2 linked regions of the Oreochromis niloticus genome follow. The protein of the gene in region 1 purifies or fractionates together with the protein of each later gene. This does not show direct contact. Links are inferred from orthologs where the notes say so. Each region holds a gene or a part of one and is shown in the gene's direction. Other genes may lie near its edges. The genes, in order: uqcc1 and uqcc2.

Region 1 (11,440 bases):
GAAGCTATACCTTGTTAATACAATATGTATGCTGCTGGTTATATGATAACAAAAACATTTTCCTTATCTCCACAGCTGCCACCCACAAACAGAAGGTTTGAGCAGCGGATGGGCGGGGCTTGAGTGTCGAAGATGACTGAGGGTGCTCTCTCTCAATGATACTTCATGGATTCAACAGTTTAAAATTACATCTAAAACTAATTGTTCAGAGCACTCTGCCCTGAGTGTAAGGGTTACGCTGACCTAATGCATGGTTGAAATCGCTACATCAAAGCTGCTAGTAATAAATACCTTTAGCTTCTGTGAAATACACCAAGTGTGATCAAAACGCTCTGAAGCCCGTCAAAAACCTTAACTGATTTAAATTTGGTTAATCACTCATTCAAGATCATCGTATGCAGGTCCAGACTGAATTTTTACCACAGACCCCAAACTTCTGTTTCACACTGAAGCACATTTTGTGAAGGATCACTGGTGTTTAGAGCCGGGTGGAAATGTGTTGATTTGAAGAGTCCTCATTCTGCAGACAGCTGGTCAGGTAAGGAGTGATACTGGGAGGATACTGGCCGTTATTTCCAACATTCATCAGGTTGTGAAGTCCTCAGAGTCCCACCGTGACATCCTGAGGCATCAGAAGGAGTGCACTCAGGCCTGAGCTGTGGTGCATGTTAGAGTGCCATCTCATGCCAGACGTTTAGACATGCTGGAGGAGATCCAGCAGCCAGCGCAGAGGCACAGATAACAGCTGACTGTGAGATCTGAAAACAGCAGCCACACCAAACACAGCTCAGAGGTGCACGAGTAGATGATGTAAGCAGATTGAAATCAGGGTTCGGGTTCGTATTTTATACTTTTTTTCCGTACTTTGGGATCCCAAAAGTCGTTCAAGCGTTTAATCTTCTGAGTTTTTGCTACTTTCTGCAGTTAAGAGCCAAACGGAAGACAACAAACCAATTAAAGCAAACTCTTCACTTTTCATGCTTTTTCTCCCCGCACATGCTAAGCAGTGTGGCTGTTTGTCCACTTTACAAAACCAAACCATAACCAGGAGATTAAATCAAAGTTAACACATAAACAGCTGCCTCACCAGTTGAGCTTAGTTTTACCTTACCAGGGTTTCGGTACCTGAGGTTAGTTTCAGCTATAATCAGTGCACCGTGTCTCAGTGTGTATCCCTCTCAGATTGGTGGAGAAAGGAAGAAAATCACCAAGTTGGTCAAAGCAGTGAGAGAAGCTTAAAGGTTCAGTGCACAGACCCCCCAGGAGGACCCCCATCTGACTGCATTTATAAACTTTTTCTGAGTGTACTTTCATTCTTTTCCAGATCCCATTACTGTACAGCAGCGTGTGCTTAATTCAGCCGTTTTCATTAAGAAGTTAATTGCCTCTGAATCTAATCTAGAGCTGCAATCATCTGTTGCAGGTCAATTTAATGGCTCCTGTATTTTAGTGCTAAAAAGGTTCTTAATGGGCCTGACTCTTTCAGACCGAGGCCATGTGGGAACAAGGTGCTCGCACTCCGGTGAGACGTTCATGACTCCTTGTCCTGCAGTGAGAGCAGCTGATGGAACAGAAACACACAGCATGAACACACACTTTACTACGTGCCTCTGAGGAGAGGCAGGACCTGTGTGTGTGTGTGTGTGTGTGTGTGTGTGTCTGAGGAGAGGCAGGACCTGTGTGTGTGTGTGTGTGTGTGTGTGTGTGTGTGTGTGTGTGTGTGTGTGTGTGTGTGTGTGTGTGTGTGTGTGTGTGTATTCATATACTTGTGGGGACCAAGATCCTGGTCCCAACACGTTTGAAGGCATTTTTGTGACTTAAAATGTGATTTTAGTGTCAGGGTTACAGTTGGGTTACGGTTAGGCTTAGAGTAAGGGTTAGAGTTAGGGACTAGGGAAACCATTATGTCAATTAGATGTCCCCACCAGATATGAATATCTGAAGTGTGTGTGTGTGTGTGTGTGTGTGTGTGTGTGTGTGTGTGTGTGTGTGTGTGTGTGTTTTATATGGGCTCAAAATGTGGTCATAAATATTTTGTACTTGTAAATCAGTTTTGTACTTGTAAATCAGGATTTGTATGTGTAAAAAGAATTTGTGCGTGCGTAAAAAAGATTTGTATTTGTAAAAAGAATTTGTGCGTGCGTAAAAAAGATTTGTATGTGTAAAAAAGATTTGTGTGTGTGTAAAAAAGATTTGTATTTGTAAAAAGAATTTGTGCGTGCGTAAAAAAGATTTGTATGTGTAAAAAGAATTTGTGCGTGCGTAAAAAAGATTTGTATGTGTAAAAAAGATTTGTGTGTGGACTTAGCTAAAAACCCCCCTGCACATACAAATCTTTTTTACGCACGCACAAATTCTTTTTACACATACAAAACTGATTTACAAGTACAAAATATTTATGACCACATTTTGAGCCCATAGTTTTAGACCATGTTAAAATGTTTCATATTGCTAAATAAAAACCCAATGATTATAGAGAGAGAACCTCAACAGTCAGACGATGACCTGTGACCCTGTGAGGAAGCACTTGGAAGATAAGATAAGATAAGATAAGATAAGATAAGCCTTTATTAGTCCGACACATTGGAAACCAGTGAGAGAAACAAAAGAAGAGACCTCCAGCATAACCAGGCTCAGGGAGAGCCAGCCATTTTCTGAGAGGAGAAAATATGTGCAAATACATGGAGCCTGAAAAGAGAGGAGTGAAGAAGTTTTCAGTCCTCCAGCAGCCTGAGTACAAAATACAAAGTCCTTCCAGAAACAAGGTTCACCACTCTGCAACCATCCTGAACTGCTTCTGGCCACATGAATGTATGTGTACAATCAAATCTGATCAAACAAAAGTACTTGAAATGTTTTCTAACTTTATCCAAACTCTGGCTTTTATAAAGCTTTTCATCCATCCATCCATCCATCCATCCATCCATCCAGGGTATTCCAGTCATCTATTTCCCTTCTAACCTGGCTCCTGGTGATTCAGAAGGTACTGCTATTAGACAAGACACATAATCTCTTTTCTCTCATTTGGGACAGAGCACCTCCAAGGCAAAGTGCCAGGCAGCATTTTAATCAGATGGCTGGCTCGTCTCGACATGAAGGAGAAGCAACTCCACTCCAAGCTCCTTCCAGATGTCTGGCGTGTTATCCTCCAAGGCTGAACCCAGCGACCCTACGAAGGAATTCATTTTGGCTGTTTGCATCCACAACCTCATTCTTTCAGTTACTACCATGAGCTCATGACCACAGGTGGGGACTGGCGTAGATTTAGATTTGATAGTAAAACAAAAGCATCACCATCCAGCTAAAATCCTTCTCCACCATGATGGCCTGATACATCTCAAGCGCCACTTTCCCATCGCCTGAAAACATCATACAACATACCTGAACTCGGTCACTTTGGGCAGCAACCCAGAGGAGGCCATCCATTCTCTTATCATCTGGAAGTAAACGACCATCTTTGGTCTTACAGAGCTCACCCACCGATTTGACTTCAGGACTCTCTGAGCACCGTGTCTCTTTGTAACAGTTTCGCTGGCTAATAACAACATAACCAAAGGTTGAGTCCAGATCACCTGATCCAGGACTAAGTATAAAATTATCAAAATGGAAAAGTCTTTCAAAAAAGAGAGGGTCTGTCTCCTAAAACTGGAATATTGTGCTAAAGCTCAAGAGTTATGTTCCTAAACCTAATCTAAATCTTAAACTTAAACTAAGCTTATTCGGTTCTTCAGTGAACGTGACAGCAGTATGCTTCAGGTCCTCCAAAGGAAGTCGTTCCCTTTAACGTGACTGTGTAAACAGACTTCTGTCCCCACAACATGAGTAATACAAGAACACAGACGCAGTGTATCGCAGGCAGGATGGCGGCGTGGCAGCCATTATTTATGTCTGCTTTCTTTAGCGAGGTTTCTCACAGAAACAGGAGCCGAGCAGGAATCCAGCACTTCCTCTCCGCCTGTCATTTATCACTCTTTATTAATACAAAAACGCACAAGCGCAGACACAGACAATCACACAAAAAACAAAAAAGCGTGTTTGGACTGTGCCCACCTCCAAAAAGTGAATGCACAAGTGGAATATATTATCTCATCCACAGGATACCTGCTGCGTCTCTACAGGCATCGCAGGGTTGGACCGTATCATTTTAAAGAGCGGATGCTCATTTAGTTCTCGTGTAAACCAGCGTGTGTGCTGGCATTTCCTAAAGTCTAAGCATCTGAAGCATTTAAACCTTCAGTCTCTGACCTAAGCCTAACGCCACCCTAACTAAACCTGAAACTACAGTTCATTATAACATTAGATAATCTTCTATTTTTATTTGTGAAACCAGAAAACATTAGGGCTTAAAACACCCATTAATAAGCCTGTGTTTGCAGCTAAATCAGGCCAGATTGTTAATACACTCCCGAAGGTTTTTTTAACCTTTTCCCTACAGTTAATAATCTGCATGTCTTCCCTCAGGTTAATAAACAATTACGCTTTTTATTCATTTGTTTCCAGTTTATAAAAATTTCCCGTCAGTTCATTAAGACATCGCTTATCTCTCACTTATCCAGTTCAGGAGGGAGGGGTCCCATCAATGCTGAAAGGTACACAGAGGATTTAAAACAGCATAAGTCTGAACCTGATCACACCTTTTTCAGAGAAGGCTTTCATATTTTAGCCGGATGATGCTAAACCACAGACGGCATCCGGCAGCTCAGCTTCACAGCAGAAGAGTGCCTGCAGTCCAGACCTTTCACCAGCTGAGAACATCTGGAGCATCATGGAACCAAAGGCAGGACAAAGAAGAGCCAGGACTGCTGAGCAGCTAGACTCCTCCATCGGACCAGAATGGGACAATATTCTTCTCCTGGAAGTCCAGATGTTCACAGACTGTAGTTAAAAGAAGAGGGGATGCTGCACAGTGGGAAACATGGTTTTAGAGACAAGCAGTTGCTATGAAGTTCAAAATGAGCTCATATTTTTATAGAAATTGAACATTTTCTCATCTTTTCTATGTGCTATTGTTTATAGAGTGAGATTTGTAAATCACTGGATTCTACTTTATTTACATTTTAAACAACTTTTTTGGAATTGGGGTCTGACCGGCAGTCTGTTGGATTTGGAGTAAGTTCCTTGGAGGGAAATTGGAAGATTTAGATCGAGTGTGTGTGTGTGTGTGTGTGTGTGTGTGTGTGTGTGTGTGTGTGTGTGTGTGTGTGTGTGTGTGTGTGTGTGTGTGTGTGTGTGTGTGTGTGCGCGCGTGTTGTCAGGTGAGGTCAGCGCAGGGAGGAAAACTTCAGACTGACTGCAGAGGAAGCAGAAACCAGACCTGGCCTCTCCGGCTCGTTTGTGTCTCATAACTCAGCGCTGCAGTATTTTTGTAAGAGTTGGTGTTCAGCATCGATCTGACGCCGCTGATTTCATTTCCTCCGTGAAAATCCACTCGACCTTCCACTTTTCCCTCTTCACACCCTTTTCCTTCTGTTTCTCTTTGTCTTTTCTGGACTCCTGTTTGTCTTTCTTCTGAAGGAACACTTCATTTTCTGGCCTTGAACAATATTTGTCCTCTCTCACGTTCAGGCTGAGGTGTCGACAGTGCAACTCTCTGCTGAAGGTTACCGTTAATGATTGTGACCTTCTAACTGCAACACGACAGAAACCCCCGCACACACAAACACTTCCAGCTGAGACACGGGAAAAACTGAAAGTGATGGAGGGGCAACTCAAACATTACCTCAGCTGTTGTGTCCACAGAGAACATGAGACTGTTTTTAAAGTCTTAATGTGTCCCACTGATGTTTTCACTGTTTATTGGCTCTAACTACAAAGCAAGTTTGACCGAGAGGTAATCGGTTTCCTTGTCAAAGACTTTTTACAGATTTAAAGAATAATAATGGTTTATGTCAGCCTGCTGTTTCATCCTTGAATGTGACTTTGGTGGGAAATGTTGCATCACTGCAGTATTCCTGGAAGGAGAGCTCTAACCCAGTCATGAAAATCCTATTTTCTGTGGGATGGAAAGCAAACATTTAAAATTATGAGTCCAATTTATTTTAGCCCAGCCAAAGGGCTTATAAGCTCGTGCTATGGTGAGACATTTGTTTGTCCATCCCTCCACAGACCTCCTGGAGGATTGGTCAAAGCTTACACACAATGATAATAGGTCTTCGCTGGAAATGCACTCAAGGTCAAGGTCATATTTGTCGTTATCAGTAGATTTAATTCTTACAAAGCTTGTTATCCTCCGGTGTACAGTTACTTTGCTCTTTGTGGAATTACAATAAAAATGTTTGTTTATGAGCATTTGGTGACAGTGGGAAGGAAAAACTCCCTTTTAACAGGAAGAAACTTCCAGCAGAACCAGGCAGGGCGGGGCCATCTGGCCTTACTTTTTGTGACTTTGTAATATATATATATATATATATGTATATATATATATATATATATACATATATATATATATATGTAGATAGATATATGTGTGTGTGTGTGTGTGTGTGTGTTTGTGTGTGTGTTTATATGTATTTGATTGTATTTTGTTACCTTATTAAGATGCTTTTTTGCTAAATTGTGATTTTTGTTGTTATCCAATGTCTATTTCTTATTCAGCACTTTGTGTTTTATTGAATTTTTAACCGCTGTAAGAAAAAAAGGCGTTTTGGGGTTAGGACACCTTATCTTATCTTATCTTATCTTACCCTGATATGCTTGAGCTTAGCGCTTTAAGTATACTTTCACTTGAATGGTATTTTTGCAGTGCAGTGTTCCTGCTTAACTTCAGTGAAGGCTCCAAGTTCTTTTTCCAGCAATGAAAGATTCAACTTTAATCGGAGCGGGTTAAAAGCGGACCTTTTCTTCACTTTGTATATTTCTACCCGGACACTATTCAGTGCCGGACAGATTCCGTTGACATTGCTGCTGTTACCAAACCAGAAGGTTTCAGTGCAGGGAGGTTCCGTGAATCTGCAGCCCGCTTCTCGGCTCTAACAGCGGGTCTTCGTGCAGTCATGTACCGGCGGCCGCTGCAGTTCGCCGCCAGAAGCGTCGCTCATGTGTCCGCCTGCAGGGCCGCCTCCGCCGGGGGCAAGGTAAGAAACGCCTCGCTGGCGTTAGCTTAGCCGGCTAACAGGTGAAGAAGTTGAGGCTGATGTTCGAGGTGACAGCCGGGTGAACACACAGCGACAGGTGACGGAGTGAGCGCTCATTTGTCTCCGTGTGTGTTTGACTTTCACACGGACGGCCTGCGAGCTCCATTAGCAGGATTAATGTCAGAGCTCAGATTAATGGAGGCGAACTCGACCAAAGACTCGCAGTAACAGCTCGAAAGTGCGGCTTTCTTTACACCGAGCACAGAAACACTACATCACACGTTCAAACCGAGGCTTCTGTCATATATGAATAATAAAGTGTTTGGCACCCGAGATAATGAAATTACTCTGTAAAGGACCAGCGTCATCAGTCACGTGTTCGAGCTTCGTTTTGGTCCAGATATTTTAATGGGTCACCGAACCATAGACTGTATGTAAATGATGGACGTGTCAGCTGTTTGTGTTGTCTGTATGTTATAGCCTCTGTGTTATTGTGTTGGCATGTTGATGATGATGATTATGATGATGATGTTTTTAGGAGGTAGAAGTGAACGAGGGTTGAGTGATAGGCTGTATCCACAAACCATGTGGGTGCAACAAATAGACCAGTATAGACCGTCCAATGGTTTACTGACAAAAACTGGAGCAGAGTAAAATATGACAAATAATGTGGCACAGCAGCCATATTATTAATCAGATAACTGCATTAAAAGGGCACAAACATGGTCCAGAAGTTCAGTTCAGGGACTCGTCATCTAGTCAGCTGATCCAAATGTGAGAAAACAATAAACTGAGCACAGTGGACTAGGTTACATTTCGGAGAGGTGCTGTTGTGTGTCAGGCCTGCGCACCAAGGTGCCGCTGCACTATAATAAAGTGAGGATAACTGACTACTACTTTTAGTGCTGACTAGCAAGAGCAGCAACATTTAAACTTGAAGCACAAGTTTGGACATTAATATCAGAGTCTGAGGGTCCAGGGTGTCTTCAGCACGCGGGCTCTTTTAATACATGCAGGATGTTTGGGCATCGTCTCGCTGAAGTAAGCAGTGCTTTACCTGGAAAAAGACTGGAGCGCAGTAAATATTATTGTGAAGTCTGAAATACTATTTGGCATAAATGGTGCCTTCACAGATAAGCAGACCATCAGTCCGTCACAGGTGCTGGTTTTTGAGCTGTGGGAAGTGTAGGGTTGCTTTTTGGTTATTGATTATTCAGCTCACAGGAAAGGTGACCCCCTCATGTCTGATCATCTTAAATGCACTCGGGACCCAGAGGAGGTGGCCCCACTTTCTCAGTCTTGTATGCATTTCTTTCTGAGTGTGGTGAAGTTTTATTTTGGCACCGCTTTGAAAGCTCGAGGTGTTTGTCTTCTGCCACAGGCCTGGCTGATACAGTCTGTGACAGAGGCTTTAAGCTGCACCCTGAATGAGCTCTTTGCACATGTGCAGTACAGCATCTGTTTCAAAAACCACCATTTAAAGCAACAACCAGATAAAGACCTAAAGGTTCTTTAGGTACTAAATGTTTTTGAGAATTGAACTAAAGCTTTGCCAGCGGTTGTGTTGTTGCTTGCAGATGTTGACTGCTGTGCTGTTGAGGTTTGATATTTGTTTTTCGTTCCCTCAGTATCTCTTTGACACAGTATGTAGGAGTTTATGCTTTCAGCTCATAGCAGTGGTCTCTTCGTTCTCTTTGAGCTTTAGTTTATTTTGAAAGGTTTTAAATTACATCATGTTTTTACAAATCTGAATGAACTTAATCAGATCAATTAATCAGATTATTGTTGCAGGTCTTTTTACTCAGTGAAGTTGGGTGGTGCAGAGACTTAATCAGTTTTTATTAAGGTGTAAAATGTTCACTCAGGAAAAGCCTGTCCAGCTGTCAGAGGGTTAACGAAGGATGTTTCTGTGCAGTCCAAACAAAAAATGCTAAAGGGTGATGAAAACTGGCTATAGCTGGTGAGAACAACACTGAGCTGTGATGTGAAGATCACTGCTGTTAGTGGGAGACGAGCAGGTGTTTGATCCGTCTTTAAAAACAAGTCGACAAATAAAACGGTCGATTGTTTGTGTTCAGCTGACTTAACTTCTCTCTCCTTGCAGGCGTTGGATCAGGAAGCCTGTTTCAGAGCGCTGGCCGCCTGTCAGCAGGCAGGCGTCTCCTCTCCGTTAGTAACGCCGTGCCGGACGCTGCATGTCGCCACACAGGTAACACCGCACGCAAGCACATGAACAAATAGCTCTCATTGTTTAACCCACAGATGGACTGCTTAAAAACACCTGTGCAGCAGCTCTTTTGTCCCAGCGGCTGGGCCACCGATATGCCCAACAGAAAGCACAAAAGAAGGGGCGCTCTCTGTTTTATTAGCTTTTCTGATTCTTAAAATAAGAATTAATATATACTCTTTGCCGATAAATAACACTTTTGTCTTCACTCGGTCAATTCCAGCTCCATCATCTCGGGGGTATTTTGCCTCCTCCTGAGTGCAGTGGGTACAGTTTGCCCCTGCTATCATCGATGCGTCCCTGCATCTGCTAAATGATTTTTATCCCTTTACACCTTTTATTATCTCTGTAAAAGTGTCCACTAGCTAAACAACATGTGTCTGTTCACATTTTCTGCTTAAATAAAAACAAATAAACTGTAATTTCTCTCCTTAAAGGTTTGATTATTCAGCCTGTAGTTTTACACACCTGCTTGGATTTCAGGATTATTTTAAGGAATTCTGAGTTCAGTCGTGTCGTATCCGTGCCTTTAAAGCACTTCCTGCCTGCTCCGTGTATTCGAGGCTTCAATGAAGCTTCAAAACTGGGAGAAAACTTCAGCACATCTGCACGTCCTGATGAAGGTTAGCGGCTTCGTGGTGGCTGTAATAAAACTGTCAAAGACGGCGTGCAGCTCGGAGTAGGTCAGCGTATTAATTTAGTGAGCGGTAAAGGTTGCGCCGCACAGGTGCGTCGTCACGTGCTGTTGATTTAACGAGGGTCACGCAGCACACGTTTGATATCCCACCTGCTAAAGGAGCATTTTCTGTTTTCGCTGCTGTTTTTTCACCGCTCCACTTTTTCTTTTTGTCCTTCAGCTCCGTAACGTGAAGGAGACGCGTCAGCACACGGAGGAGGAGGTCGGCGCCTTCACAAAGCTCATCGAGGCGATGGGCTTCACGGGACCGCTCAAATACAATAAATGGGTGAGTGCAGAGGGTGAGATGTGGGCTGAAAACGAGCATGAGGGGTTTTCGGCCAAGGTGACATTGCTTCATTTGATGCGTGAAATCAACGTGAGCACTTAGTGTCATGTTAAATTTAATGTGCCTCCAAGGCCACCTGTTACCTGCTGACGTGTCTGTTCTGCACTCGAACAACCTTTCAGTCAAAAGCATCATGCTAACCTCCTTTAAACGCACCTTCTGATGAATGTGTGCCACCCTGATTGGTCAACCAGTAACAGAAACAAACGTGTCGGGTCAGACGTTTCTACCTGTACGGCCAGCGCAGCGTTTCACCTCCTGCTCTCTGTGGTTGAATAAAACCAAACTGAACTTGGACACAACAGAGTAATAAAACATTTGTTATGGAAGATGTTGCATGCAGAAGGCCAAAAATACTAATAACGTCACTGCAGTGGGAGTGATATTCACCAGAGGTGTGTGTGTGTGCACGTGCATGTGCGTGTGGCTTTCATTCATTGCATCACACTCTTGTAGTCGGTATGGTTTCCAGGAATGCACAGGTCATTAAAGGAATAAACAGTTGGCGCGGTGGCAGGCTTCGGTGATGTGGGAGGTTTTGGCGGAAGGTGGAAAGGTTGCGTGTGTGCTGAGGAATGTCGGGCGAGCAAAGAGCTGGGCCGCACGCCGGGGCAGCGTTTGGCTCGCATGCTGGCACACCTCCGAACTCGTGTCCTGCTCCTGCGCGTGTTTACTCTACAGATGAAACCGCCGTCGGAGACGCACAGATCAGCCTTAAATCCCAGAATAATCCCACAGAAATGCGTGCTCGCTGTTGTTTAATGAAACCTGTTGGCGAGTCGCTTTTCCAGCTGAAAGTTGCTGAACCAGACAAACTCATTTGGATAAGTTTGCCTATTTGATGTCATTTTTAGCCCCCCTGTTTCCATTGACAAATGTTGGTAATGGAAGTGTAGTGGCGCATTCACACTGGACAGGAAGCGAAATTACTCCCACACAATACAGTCGCTTCACCCCAACAGCCAGCAGGTTGATGACTGTCTGCACTGTGGCCACTGCTGTGTAAAGGCTGATATGGAGGGCAGCGTGGTCCCCTGAAAGCTTCAACAGGAAGCCAGTTGTGTTACACCTCCTGTTGTGTTGTGTTTCGGCGCCATCGCAGGAGGGTCGCCTGC
Region 2 (11,238 bases), about 17 Mb from region 1:
CGTATCTAAAACCGCTACTGAGAATAAGCAACAGTCAGTGCTCCACTAGGCAAAAGTGTCAATTAGGACAATGGAGGGAAGCAGTCCCAACACCTGTCTGCAATCGTCTAGTTCATCCTCCTTGTGATTTTCTGTTCGCCTGCTACATTTAGTAAGACTACATTGTTTTGGTCTTTAGGCAGCCCAGCTAAAGACAATGAACTGAGTTCATAGCACAAGTTCAGATAATTGTGTCTGCTCCCCCTGTCTCTGGCTGTGTTGTCATCCACGGTGCTGATCTAAACTAAAATAATGATTATTGTTATTACTATTTACATATCTGAGATTGTCACTGTGTTGATAGGAGTTATGTGGGTTTCGTTTTCATTGCTTTCACATCCAGCTCATTCACCAGATTAGCCTTGGCTCCTGTGTTTTTCAAAGAATAAACAAAAAGAAAGAGTACACACAGTAGAAGAAACTGCTCTCAGTGACACGTTTTTTGTGGGGATGGTAATGCAGCAAGATACACCCATGGACCAACCTGCAGTCAGTACAGTGAAGCAGGACAAATGGACAGAGACGTTACCAGTGAATGGAGCCCTGGTAACTTTCAAACTGGACACAGGAGCCAAGGCTAATCTGGTGAATGAGTTGGATGTGAAAGCAATGAAAACGAAACCCACATAACTCCTATCAACACAATCACAAAAGCTAAAAACGATTCAATGTGACTGTGTCATCAAATAAAAATTTCTTAAGCTAAAAGATACAACTAAGACTACAGCTCCCAGACTACAACGCGGCTGTGTTTGGTGCTACCATCAAATAGGTATTTCCTGTTCCTGCCAATGTTATCTCATAAGTGATTTGCTGTGTTATTCAACAACTCGTTTTAGCTGGTGACACTTTCTGCTGCTGCTAACTTCACTGACTGTAACTACCGCTGTAAGTCACTAATAAGGTAAACCAGCTAACGTGTCAAGCTAACTGTTTAAACGTGTGTCAAAAGAAAGTGTTGTTAAATCTTCTTACTCTGTTTCGTGTTTTTATTTGACATATTCGGTAAAACTTAAAAACTGTATAATAAAAGTATAATAAGTGCATTATAAGATAGTAAGCAGGTAATTTTCTTTTATTTGACGTGGGGAAAAGCAAACAAAAAAAACATGGTGTCAAAAAGTGTGTTTGTTTAACGTCTGCTTGCAGATGATGAGGCTGCCATGGCGGGTCCTGGCTCCACACACAGCACCTGTAAGGAGAGCCTCCTCAGTCCCTGCAGGGCTGATGAACTTTGTCCCCGCCTGCAGCACCACCGACGCCCACTCACTGGAGCTGCTGCAGGACTTTGTGACCCGAGCCAGACGCCTGTTTGTCATCACCGGAGCGGGTCTGTCCACGGAGTCGGGCATCCCCGATTACCGTTCAGAGGGCGTCGGGCTGTACGCCCGCACTGACAGACGACCCATGCAGTACGCAGAGTTTGTCCGCAGCGCAAAGTCCCGTCAGCGCTACTGGGCCAGAAACTTCGTCGGATGGCCGCAGTTTTCCTCCCACCAGCCGAACTCTGCACACAAGGCCCTGCAGCGGTGGGAGGACAGGGGCAAGCTGCACTGGCTGGTTACGCAGAATGTAGATGCTCTTCACTCAAAGGCGGGTCAGAAGAGACTCACAGAGCTCCACGGCTGTGCCCACAGGTGAGAACGCATAAACTCACATATGCATCATAGACAATAAGCGTCAAATAAGAAGTAATGGCAGTGTTACAACAATACAATACAATGTACTGTATAAACACTACTTATTTGTGAGCAAAAGCCATGCACTGAGAATGCCATGTAGGTAAAAGTTTCCAGGTGTCATTGGCAAAATGTTGGATTACTTTAGTGATGTTTTCATGTACAATCACCACTATATTCTGCAGTTCTGTGAAAAGCATTTACCCCCTTCCTGAAAAACTGACTTCAGTGTCACAAATCGACTCAATATATCATGCCACGATCCAAAGAAACTCAAGAACAGCTGAGAATCACTGACATCCATCAGTCTGTAAAGGATTACAAAGCCGTTTCTAAGGCTTTGGGACTCCAGACATTGGTTTGGTGACAGTAATTAAAACACACACCCTGCATCACCAGGAGTTATTAGGAAATGCTGTCTGTTTGCATGTTAACTGACTAGAAGACATTTTTTGAGTATGAAATATGGGCATCCTCAGGGTCACGTGCCTTGGCTGTGGTGCCATCTCAGCACGGGAGGAGCTCCAGAGGCGATTTATATCTTTAAACCCAGAGTGGCGAGCTCAGGCTGGCGCCGTGGCCCCAGACGGAGACGTCTTCTTGGAGGATGAGCAGGTCCTCCATTTCAGAGTTCCCTCCTGTGATGACTGCGGCGGGATACTGAAGCCTGAGGTCACGTTTTTTGGAGACTCCGTGAACAAAGCAACTGTGCAGTTTGTGCACGAAAGGCTGGCAGAGTCGGATGCGGTGCTCGTTGTGGGGTCATCTTTACAGGTGGGCCTTGGATAAACTAGTAAACCAGTTTGTTAGCGTTCAGCACACTGTTTCTTGACTGAATACGTTGTTCCTCATTGATGTTTCTCAGGTGTACTCAGGATACAGGTTTTTACTGGCAGCGAGGGACAGGGAGATGCCGGTCGCCATCCTGAACATAGGGCCCACCCGAGCAGACCACCTGGCTGAGCTGAAAGTCAGCGGCCGCTGCGGGGAAGTGCTGTCAGTCATTCAGCCGCTCTGACTGACCGCAGCCTAAAAAGCTTGAAGTGCTCTGCTGGTTAGGTTAAAACTACCTCAGATTTATGGAAACAGTTGCTCTCTGTTGTTACACGCTGTATGCAGGTGACTGAATGTTAATAATTGTGAGCTATAAATGTGTCAGACTTGAATCCAGCTGATCTTCATACAGCAGGTTGGTGTCAGGGAGCTGAAATCCTGTCTCTGCAATCAAATGTCAACCTACCAGGAAAACAGAAAGACTGTGCTTTGTTGTGTGATTGTTGGTTTTAGGTTGAAATAATAATGGCATGCAGGTCAGATGTGTGAAGTGAAATGAAAATTTGCAGGCTTGAAGAAAAACAGAGGTACCCCGTTTTCTTCCTCAAGCTCTTTTCACTTTATAAATGGACTGCATTCATGTAGAATGTCTTTTCAAGTCTTATCAAACACACAAAGCACCATCACTAGGTACTGACGACACCTTTGGAATCAAACGCTCTTATTCTGATAAGACAAAAACACACATGGTGGCTGCTCTTATGTCGATGGGAAGATGCAATATAAATGTTTATTTTCATGTTCTGCCACCAGATCTGTTTTAAAAGGTGCAATTTGTTCTTCTTCCTTTTTTTAATTATGCAATACTCAGATGGTTAGTATTTTGATTGATTTTAAATGCTGCCATATTCATTTTAATCAGTTTTTGTGAATTTCAGTTTAAAGTAGGTTGAATTAATATTTTTTCAGGCTGGATTTTAAAGTGGCATTATGCTGTCTTTTTAAGGTTATGTGGTGAAAACTTTCTGTAATAAAATATTCAGAAAATAAGAGTTGTTTTTTTTTAATTTATTATCACACTTGCAAGATGGAAATATTCATCATTAAAGAAGTCTCAAACCTTGGTGTATCAAACATAAGGCCCAGGGGCCAGAATCAGATAACAAAGATTCCAATCTGGTCCTGCATGACTTTTGAAAACACGAAGAATGTAAAATTTTGGACTGAATGTATTTTCATAAGTTTTCATGCTGATAAAGAGCTCCCTCATTGCTATTCATACTACACCAAAGTAATTAAGCAGTAGATAACAATGAAATTACAGAACATTTCCTGTATAATACAGAAATGTCTGTCTTTTACAATGTGTGCATAGTAAGAAAAAAATCTGAATTAACAGAGACTTTCTCTTTTCTAATTACAAAGTAGTCTGAGCATGAGGCTACCAGATCTTTTTCTGTAACATTTATCTCCCAACTTAAGCCTGAAGAGACGTGCTGACAGATTTTTCCATTAACTACAGCAGCATTTCTGTATCCGTGGAAAAACTGAGATATGCTGTAGAAATCGCACTGCTTTTTCTGATATTAACATGTCTCAGAGATTAAACGTGTAGTTAAACTTTACACTGACAGAAAGTGGAGTTTCACTGTTGCGGCCCGCTGAAGATCAGAGTGGGCTGTATGTAGTTTGACATCCCGCTCTAACAAAACACCTTTTTCTCACACTAGTCTTAACCTGAGTTATGTATTGTCAGGTCATGTTGCATTATAGTCGGTATTTTCATGAGTGAGGTCAATAACAATATAGTTAACTCTGATCAGGTGGTCTCCCTCTCCTGGAACCTGCCGCCCACGTCAATAACCCAACAGCTGTTTTGACAGTGTTTATTACAGTCATAAATAATCAAACATAACCCAGAGCATTTTGCTTTAAAGACAAAATTACATCATGTTCACAAACAAACCGAGGGCAGTGTGACTACAGATTGATTAATCGTGAGATCTTTCAGGAGGTTTTGCTGCTCAAATCTCTGCTGCAGACGGAGTTTCCAGGTCTCCAGGTCAGACTTTATCTCCTCTTGCAGAGCAGCTGGGACGCTGAAGGAATACAGACAACATCTGTGAGCTGCAGTATCTGGCTGCCATGTTGCTGAAGCCGTAACCACCGTGAGGGGAGTCATGGACAGACAGTTGTCGAAACTCTTCGTGTGATCAAACCAGTAAGTGACGGGGTAACCCAGTAACAGCCCAAACACAGTACACAGGTTCCACTCCTCACATTTCTCTCCGCCACTGAGAAGCCTCTCAACCTCGTCAAGCTGCTGCACCCCTCCCAGTAGAAGTAGTAAATCTTGTATCATGCACTTCAGGTCTCCCCTCAGCGGATCAGCGAGGGTGGGCGACTCCTGTGAGTGGCAGACATCAATCACGGCCACGCTGCTCCCCTCATGAAGAACCTGCTCTAGATTTGACTTGACTGTGACCGGATTAACAATGAGACCATTTCCATTTAAATCCAGCGTGAGCAGCGATTTAGACACAAGCTGGAGAGACTGCAAAGAGCTCAGATAGTGCTCCACTTGTTCTGCGCAGGCACCGTTAATATCGTACAGAACAGCAGGCTTCAATCCCAAATCTACAGCTGACACCTGAGCAGCCAGGTCCAGACTCTGAGGAGCGGAGAGGGACTTTCTACCAGCAGACAGATACTTACGAGCAGCAGCAACAAAGAGCTCTGAAGCAGACATGACTGCATAAAAATCACGTCACACAAGACTGAGGAGTCAAGCAGGACTAGAGATATTTCAATTTTAAGTAGCTGTTTAGCTGGAATCAAAGACAAAAAGTAAACTGCACAGTTGTAATCTACACTTACAAGAAAGGTTAAAAAAAAAAACAACAACTAACAAATGGTCAAACAAAAGGTCAATGGATGTAACACAAGTAAACCAGACAAAAGTTTTCAAACTAAAACTAGTCATAAAAACTGTTTCATGAGTTTATTTGTGTCCACTGTTTCTTCTTTGTTGGTCCAGGATGCCTAAAGGAGAAGAAACATGTCAGTCAGAATAATCTGTAGAAAAACAGCAGTTATTCGGTGATAAATGCATTCTGCTTTTGTTCATTAGAGGTGTGCACACAGATCACACCTCTCTCCAGCTCTAATAAAGAAGATAACCTCACCATCATCCTGGCTGTGATGTATTTGGGTCACGCTATGTCACTGGCTGAGGAGACATCAGGTCGAAATCGGAGAGATTTCTTGCAACCCAAACACCAGCTGCAAACAAGCCCAAATTCACCAGAAGATTCCTTAAAAAAATGAAAAAGAAAAAAGGTTTAAACAATCAGTAATGACATCAACAGCAACAACACCCTGTTCAACCTGTGGCTACAGGTTTTGCTGTGAGGGGAAACTGAGTAAACATAAATTTATAAGACCACAGGTATCTATAACCTCATCCATCTATTAATTTATATTCTTCTGTTTATCCAGAGCTAGGCTAGGCTAGGTCCTGGAGGCAGCAACCTAAGCAGAGAAGCTCAGACTTCCCTCAGACCACCTGCTCCAGGTAAAATGCCAAGGCTTTCCCAGGTCAGCTGAGCGATATAACCTTTCCAGCATGTCTTGGGTCTACCCCACAGCTATAGAGGGAGGGCATTTTTTTAAACATATATGAATATATAAATATATCTTATAGGCTTCCCATCACACCTAGTATATCAGGTACGTGGCATTCACCTTAATCCTAGGGGAGCCAATATTTTGGCATATTTGGTACACAGATGTTGAGAATTTTCTAGCTCTGACAGAAGAACCACACATTAAAGAAAAACAAAAACCCATCGCATGTTAATATGCAAACAATAGTAGGATCTTCCTCAAATCCGGTGTCCAGGTAATCCTACATAGGTTATAATGTGCTGCTGGGATCCAATTGCCTGAACAAATTGGCCACTAAACATTGACTAATTAGCTACCTGTCATACTGTATACATTAAGCTTCCTGATGCCCTTAGAGTAGAAACTATACTCTCCCTAAAGTTTGACAAAGTGGTTAATCGATTAGATTAGTCCATATCTTCTGTTCATTGATCAACAAACTAAAAATAACTATTACGCTGGTAATATTATCATACAACTCGATTAAACTGATGATCATAATTGTAATTGTATTGCCTGTTTCTTTAGTTATAGTGTAGCCTAGTGAGTGAGAGGACAAGGACAGACTCCTCCATTGGCACACCAGTGCTAACGCTAGCAACACGGCTAACCGCCCCAAAAACCCTCTTACTATCACTGCTGTCTGCTCAGTCTCACCTTCTGAAGTCGTTTCTATCTGTTGCGAATCGACAGGCCGAGCTGATCCACTCCATCACACCGGGGGAAGAGCCCTTTTTAGCGTTTGCCCCACTCATGTTGCTAACGTGCGTCCTGGGGGTAGGAAAAGACAACGGCAACGAGGGCGAAGAGTCAAGGGGGAAGGTTTTAGATGTTACACAACTACGGTGTGCGATAAAGCTCAAACCAAAACGTACGTCCTCCTCGCTCCACTCAGGACGTGCTGTTACATGACCAAAGATGTCTGCGACCAGGTACCGTCGGTTTCTGAAGCTGTGTGAGGAATGGCCCAGAGACGAGACCAAGAAAGGCCGCGACTTGGGGACATTTCTGCGGCAGAGAGTCGCCTCTGCCTTCCGAGAGGGTGAAAATACTCAGGTAATGAATTTTAGCTGGTAGCAACACACGGACTCCTCTCTGCTGTAAATAACCGAGGGAAGCTAAGAGGACAGCTTAGTTAGAAGAGCAAGCAGCTGACAACCTAATCCAAAGCAGATTTCTGCGAACTACAAGCGACCAGTATTGACATGTTTGAGCCACTAATGTCCATCACTCCACCGCTGGTTTCGCAGCTGGGTCAATTTGAAATCATCTGGTGTTTAGAAAATTTTCTACTCAACCGCCTCTGATTTAAAATTTGGACATTTGTAATGATTGCTTTGAAATTTTAGCTTCATATATCAACCAGTGCCAGTTCCTGAATAGTTTACAGTTGCATCTTACAATAATGAAAAACCAAATTAGTAGAATAGTTACTAACATTACATTTCTTAGTCACAAAACTGAAGAAAATGTTTTCATTCAACTTAAATGCCTCACTTGGTATACAAAAAAAGTATCTGAAATAATAAGGTAAAATTTCACAGCAATCATTATGTGTCTAAACTTTAGATCGTAAAGTATTTAAACAAATCTGAGATATTCAATGGATATATAAACCTGCTGGAACGGCGTCAATGGACCACCTTTCACAAATATATCTTGAAAGGTGTTTGATGTATAAAGCTAAAATTTCACAGCAGTCATTATAAATGGCCAAATTTAAAACCATAAAAAGTTTTTTGGTAAATGAGAGATGGTCGAACAGAAGGTCCACGATGATTTGAGATGGAATGACCCAGTTTGGATGCATCTTTTTTTTTTAAATAAATCTTGAAAATAAAAATAACTATCAGTGTTTGCAACCAACTAAACAGCCTTTAATCTGTTTCTAAAACATGAAATTTCTGAGAAGCCAACCATTTGAGCATTGTAAACCATAACATGTAAAAAATATAAGATATTTTGCCAAATAACAGTTGGAATAGGCTCCAGCCCACTACCAACTCTGAACAGGATAAGTAGTAACGAAAAGGAATGGAAAAAGATGGTTTTTGATAATCATAGGTGTTTGATGCCAGCAGAATCTTAGGTGCCAACAAAAAAACTCTAGTTTATAAATAAAGTTTACACTGACTCGCAGCACCATCTTGTGGTACAAATTGGCATTACACTGAAGTTTTACCCTGGCTCTAGTTGAATTTCACCTCCCATCTCTTAAACACAGTACAAGCATTATTTTGCCTTTTGATTCTGTACTGTGTGTGATCTGACCAATAAGAATTAGATTTAAAAAATGTAACCCACAGACACCAGAGAGATGGTGGCACAGTGATTATTTATTTTTATGATGGCATAGTAGAGCACAAGCGTATATAGCATGGCAGTGCATCGCACATCCTCATGCCTTTTTTACGGAAACCAAAATGACCTGTTTGGACTTTAAAGTTGATAATTAAAATAATGAGAATATTTTTTTTCCATTTAAAACATGTTGAGTGAGTAAAATCACATCTTAACCACTTCAATGTTTCCCCACTAGATCTCAGATCCTGAGAAATGTGATCAGATGTATGAAAGTCTGGCACAGATTAATGGCAACATATACAGACAGCGGGTAAGTACTCATGCACATATGTGAGGTGCATTTCAACTTTATTATATTTATTATATCATACGAAAAACACAGTGCCTTCCTCTGCTGTCGTTAACCAGACATCTGTCACCTAGCGAATGACTTCTCCATTCTTTAAGATTGTAAAGGTGTAGTTACTTTTTTTTTTTTTCTGTGTGGAGATGATAAAGTGTGTTTACATTAAGTACAAAGGTCTAAACAAGCACACGAGGTTAATGGTTAAAAATAGTTAACCTTTAAATTTGAACTATAAAGACAGCAAGTGTTCACGTAAGATCCAGAGATCAGCAGATAGTCTGTCTTCCTTCTCTGAGTTACTATAAATAGGGAAGTTTTACTTACTAAAAAAAAGATTTTTCTAGGAAGACTATTAATTTGGCACATTGTTTTAAGGGGAAATTTTCCTTGTGCATGTGAAATGCAGAAAATGGGAAGCTGACTCCTTCAAATACTGTGCACACCAAATTATTTGAGTACATAATGAACTTTTATATAATATTTGACTTTTTTCATTTTGAAAGAAATTCCTGTGTGAAAACTTGTCGAAGGCAATAAGAATTTTATTTTCTTTCTCTCTTCAGTTTCCTCGTGTGAGAGACACGAGCTTCACTGGAGTCACAGTGGAAGAGTGTAGATTACTTTTGTCAGGTATGGACTCGCATGTGCTGTCAATTCTCGGTTATTTACTAAACATAATGTTGTTATGAGGCCCCAGGAACTTGCTGTAACTTAGACCCAACTTTTACATTTTACAGGAACTATGCAAAATACGGACGAGGAAAAAAAGGGTCTGTGGAAGTCGTTAATGCAGAGATTCTCTTCTAAATCACCAGAAGACGTCCCAGAGAAACCTGCTGAAAAATAACTTTTTCTTCCAATCTTCTTTTCCTATATGTATAGAAATAAATCTTATTGTTATCATTTTGGACTCTTTTTTTAAAAAAAATATATATTATATTTATTTAAATTGTAGCTTTACAAATATTTTTGGATATATTTTGGTCCATATTGACATGACAGCATCACACAAATTTGTTGGCTGCACATCTATGATGAGTGTCCTGTTCCTCCACATCCCAAAGATGCCATATTAGACTGAGATCTGGTGACTGTGGAGGCCATTTGAGTTCAGTGAACTCACTTCCATAAGAAGCCAGTTTGAGATGATTTGAGTTTGTTATGCGATACATCATCCTCCTGAGACCAGCCTGAACTGTTGATACAAGGCAGCATGGAGACATGCTTTCATGCCATTCACACCAAATTCTGACCATCATCTGAATGTTGCAGCAGAAATTGAGGCCTATCAGACAAGGCAACATTTTTCCAGTCTTGTTCAATTTTAGTGAACATGTGAACTGTAGCCTCAGTTTGCTGTTCTTAGCTGACAGAAGTAGCAAGCAGTGTGGTCTTCTGCTGCTGTAGGTCAGCTGCTGCAAGTTTTGTGAATATTCGCTGGTTGGATATTGTTGAATCAAACTAAATATTTTTATAAGCCTTCACTGGCTGTGTGGTGGAAATAACCCACAGTCATCAGTTTGTAAAATAACACTAATCTGTTAAGACTGTAACACCAAACTTCAATTTCCTGGAGTTTTTCTATTAGTTCAGACTTGAATTTTTACATATGATAAGAAATCTTACATTTAAACAAGTCTATAAAAACAATGCTGAAAAACATTTGGTCTACATCACGGCTGTGAGTTGGCTCACCAGGCAGGATTTAATCAGTTAAGCTTGTGTCTGATTGAGAAATGCACCTGACCGTTAACTCAAATTATTTACTTGCAAAGCAAAAATGTTTCGTGGACTAGTTTACACAGTTTTATTATAAATTCACACTTTGAACATCGCTTCTTTAAGAAAAAAAGGTAAAAACTTTGTTTTAAACTGAACAACCAAAACTCCACATGATGGGGTGACTTAACTATTTTCAATGTAATCAGATATTCTGATCATATTACAGTTTTTCCTATTAGTAATGACATTTCTGACAATGCACTGAAATTCTTAAGGGATTTTTTTTTAAGGAACAAAATAAATTTATTAGAAGCAGGCTGTTATACAGTATCTAAGCAGATAACATAATGCCTGCTCAGATCTAAAGTACTGCAGATGTTAAAGGGGATACCACTATTTAGAAATGACATCTTTATTTATTTTTCTTCTTTTTATTTTGGGCAACATATACGCAAGTATTAGTAAGTCTGTGACCAGCCAACAAGGTCATAACAAAGCAGCTGGATAATAAAGTCAGAAGTTAAAAAGTGAGACTGACCTGTTTTTTTTATTAGTATTTTTTTTTTTTTTTTAATAACATTGTGTACGTGATTCAGAATATAAGTATGCTCTTCAAAACACACAGTCATGATCCCTACTCTTCTTTTTCCTCTGGGTTGTCTCTCCATATGCAGTAGTTGAGGCTAGTTGCAAGGCACAGCCAGCCCA

What was found.
Region 2: the proteins of uqcc1 (region 1) and uqcc2 purify together in Homo sapiens (co-immunoprecipitation; 3 studies listed by BioGRID and IntAct, counting the BioPlex papers as one, with this or other methods). This does not show direct contact. The link is inferred for Oreochromis niloticus from reciprocal best matches to the Homo sapiens genes UQCC1 and UQCC2.

What each region holds. Positions count from the first base shown.
Region 1 is NC_031970.2:3,099,302-3,110,741, forward strand, and holds the start of uqcc1 (ubiquinol-cytochrome c reductase complex assembly factor 1), read left to right. Parts: upstream 1-6,846; 5' UTR 6,847-6,992; coding exon 6,993-7,073; intron 7,074-9,177; coding exon 9,178-9,282; intron 9,283-10,157; coding exon 10,158-10,265; intron 10,266-11,440. UniProt on the Homo sapiens protein: Required for the assembly of the ubiquinol-cytochrome c reductase complex (mitochondrial respiratory chain complex III or cytochrome b-c1 complex). Involved in cytochrome b translation and/or stability.
Region 2 is NC_031970.2:19,764,731-19,775,968, forward strand, and holds uqcc2 (ubiquinol-cytochrome-c reductase complex assembly factor 2), read left to right. Parts: upstream 1-7,045; 5' UTR 7,046-7,076; coding exon 7,077-7,214; intron 7,215-8,697; coding exon 8,698-8,772; intron 8,773-9,371; coding exon 9,372-9,438; intron 9,439-9,545; coding exon 9,546-9,655; 3' UTR 9,656-9,711; downstream 9,712-11,238. Other genes in the region: sirt4 (NAD-dependent protein lipoamidase sirtuin-4, mitochondrial), read left to right, coding at 1,189-1,676, 2,198-2,492, 2,584-2,736; lg5h1orf74 (UPF0739 protein C1orf74 homolog), read right to left, coding at 4,447-5,241; tomm6 (mitochondrial import receptor subunit TOM6 homolog), read right to left, coding at 5,710-5,806, 6,816-6,913; tspo (translocator protein), read right to left, coding at 11,165-11,238.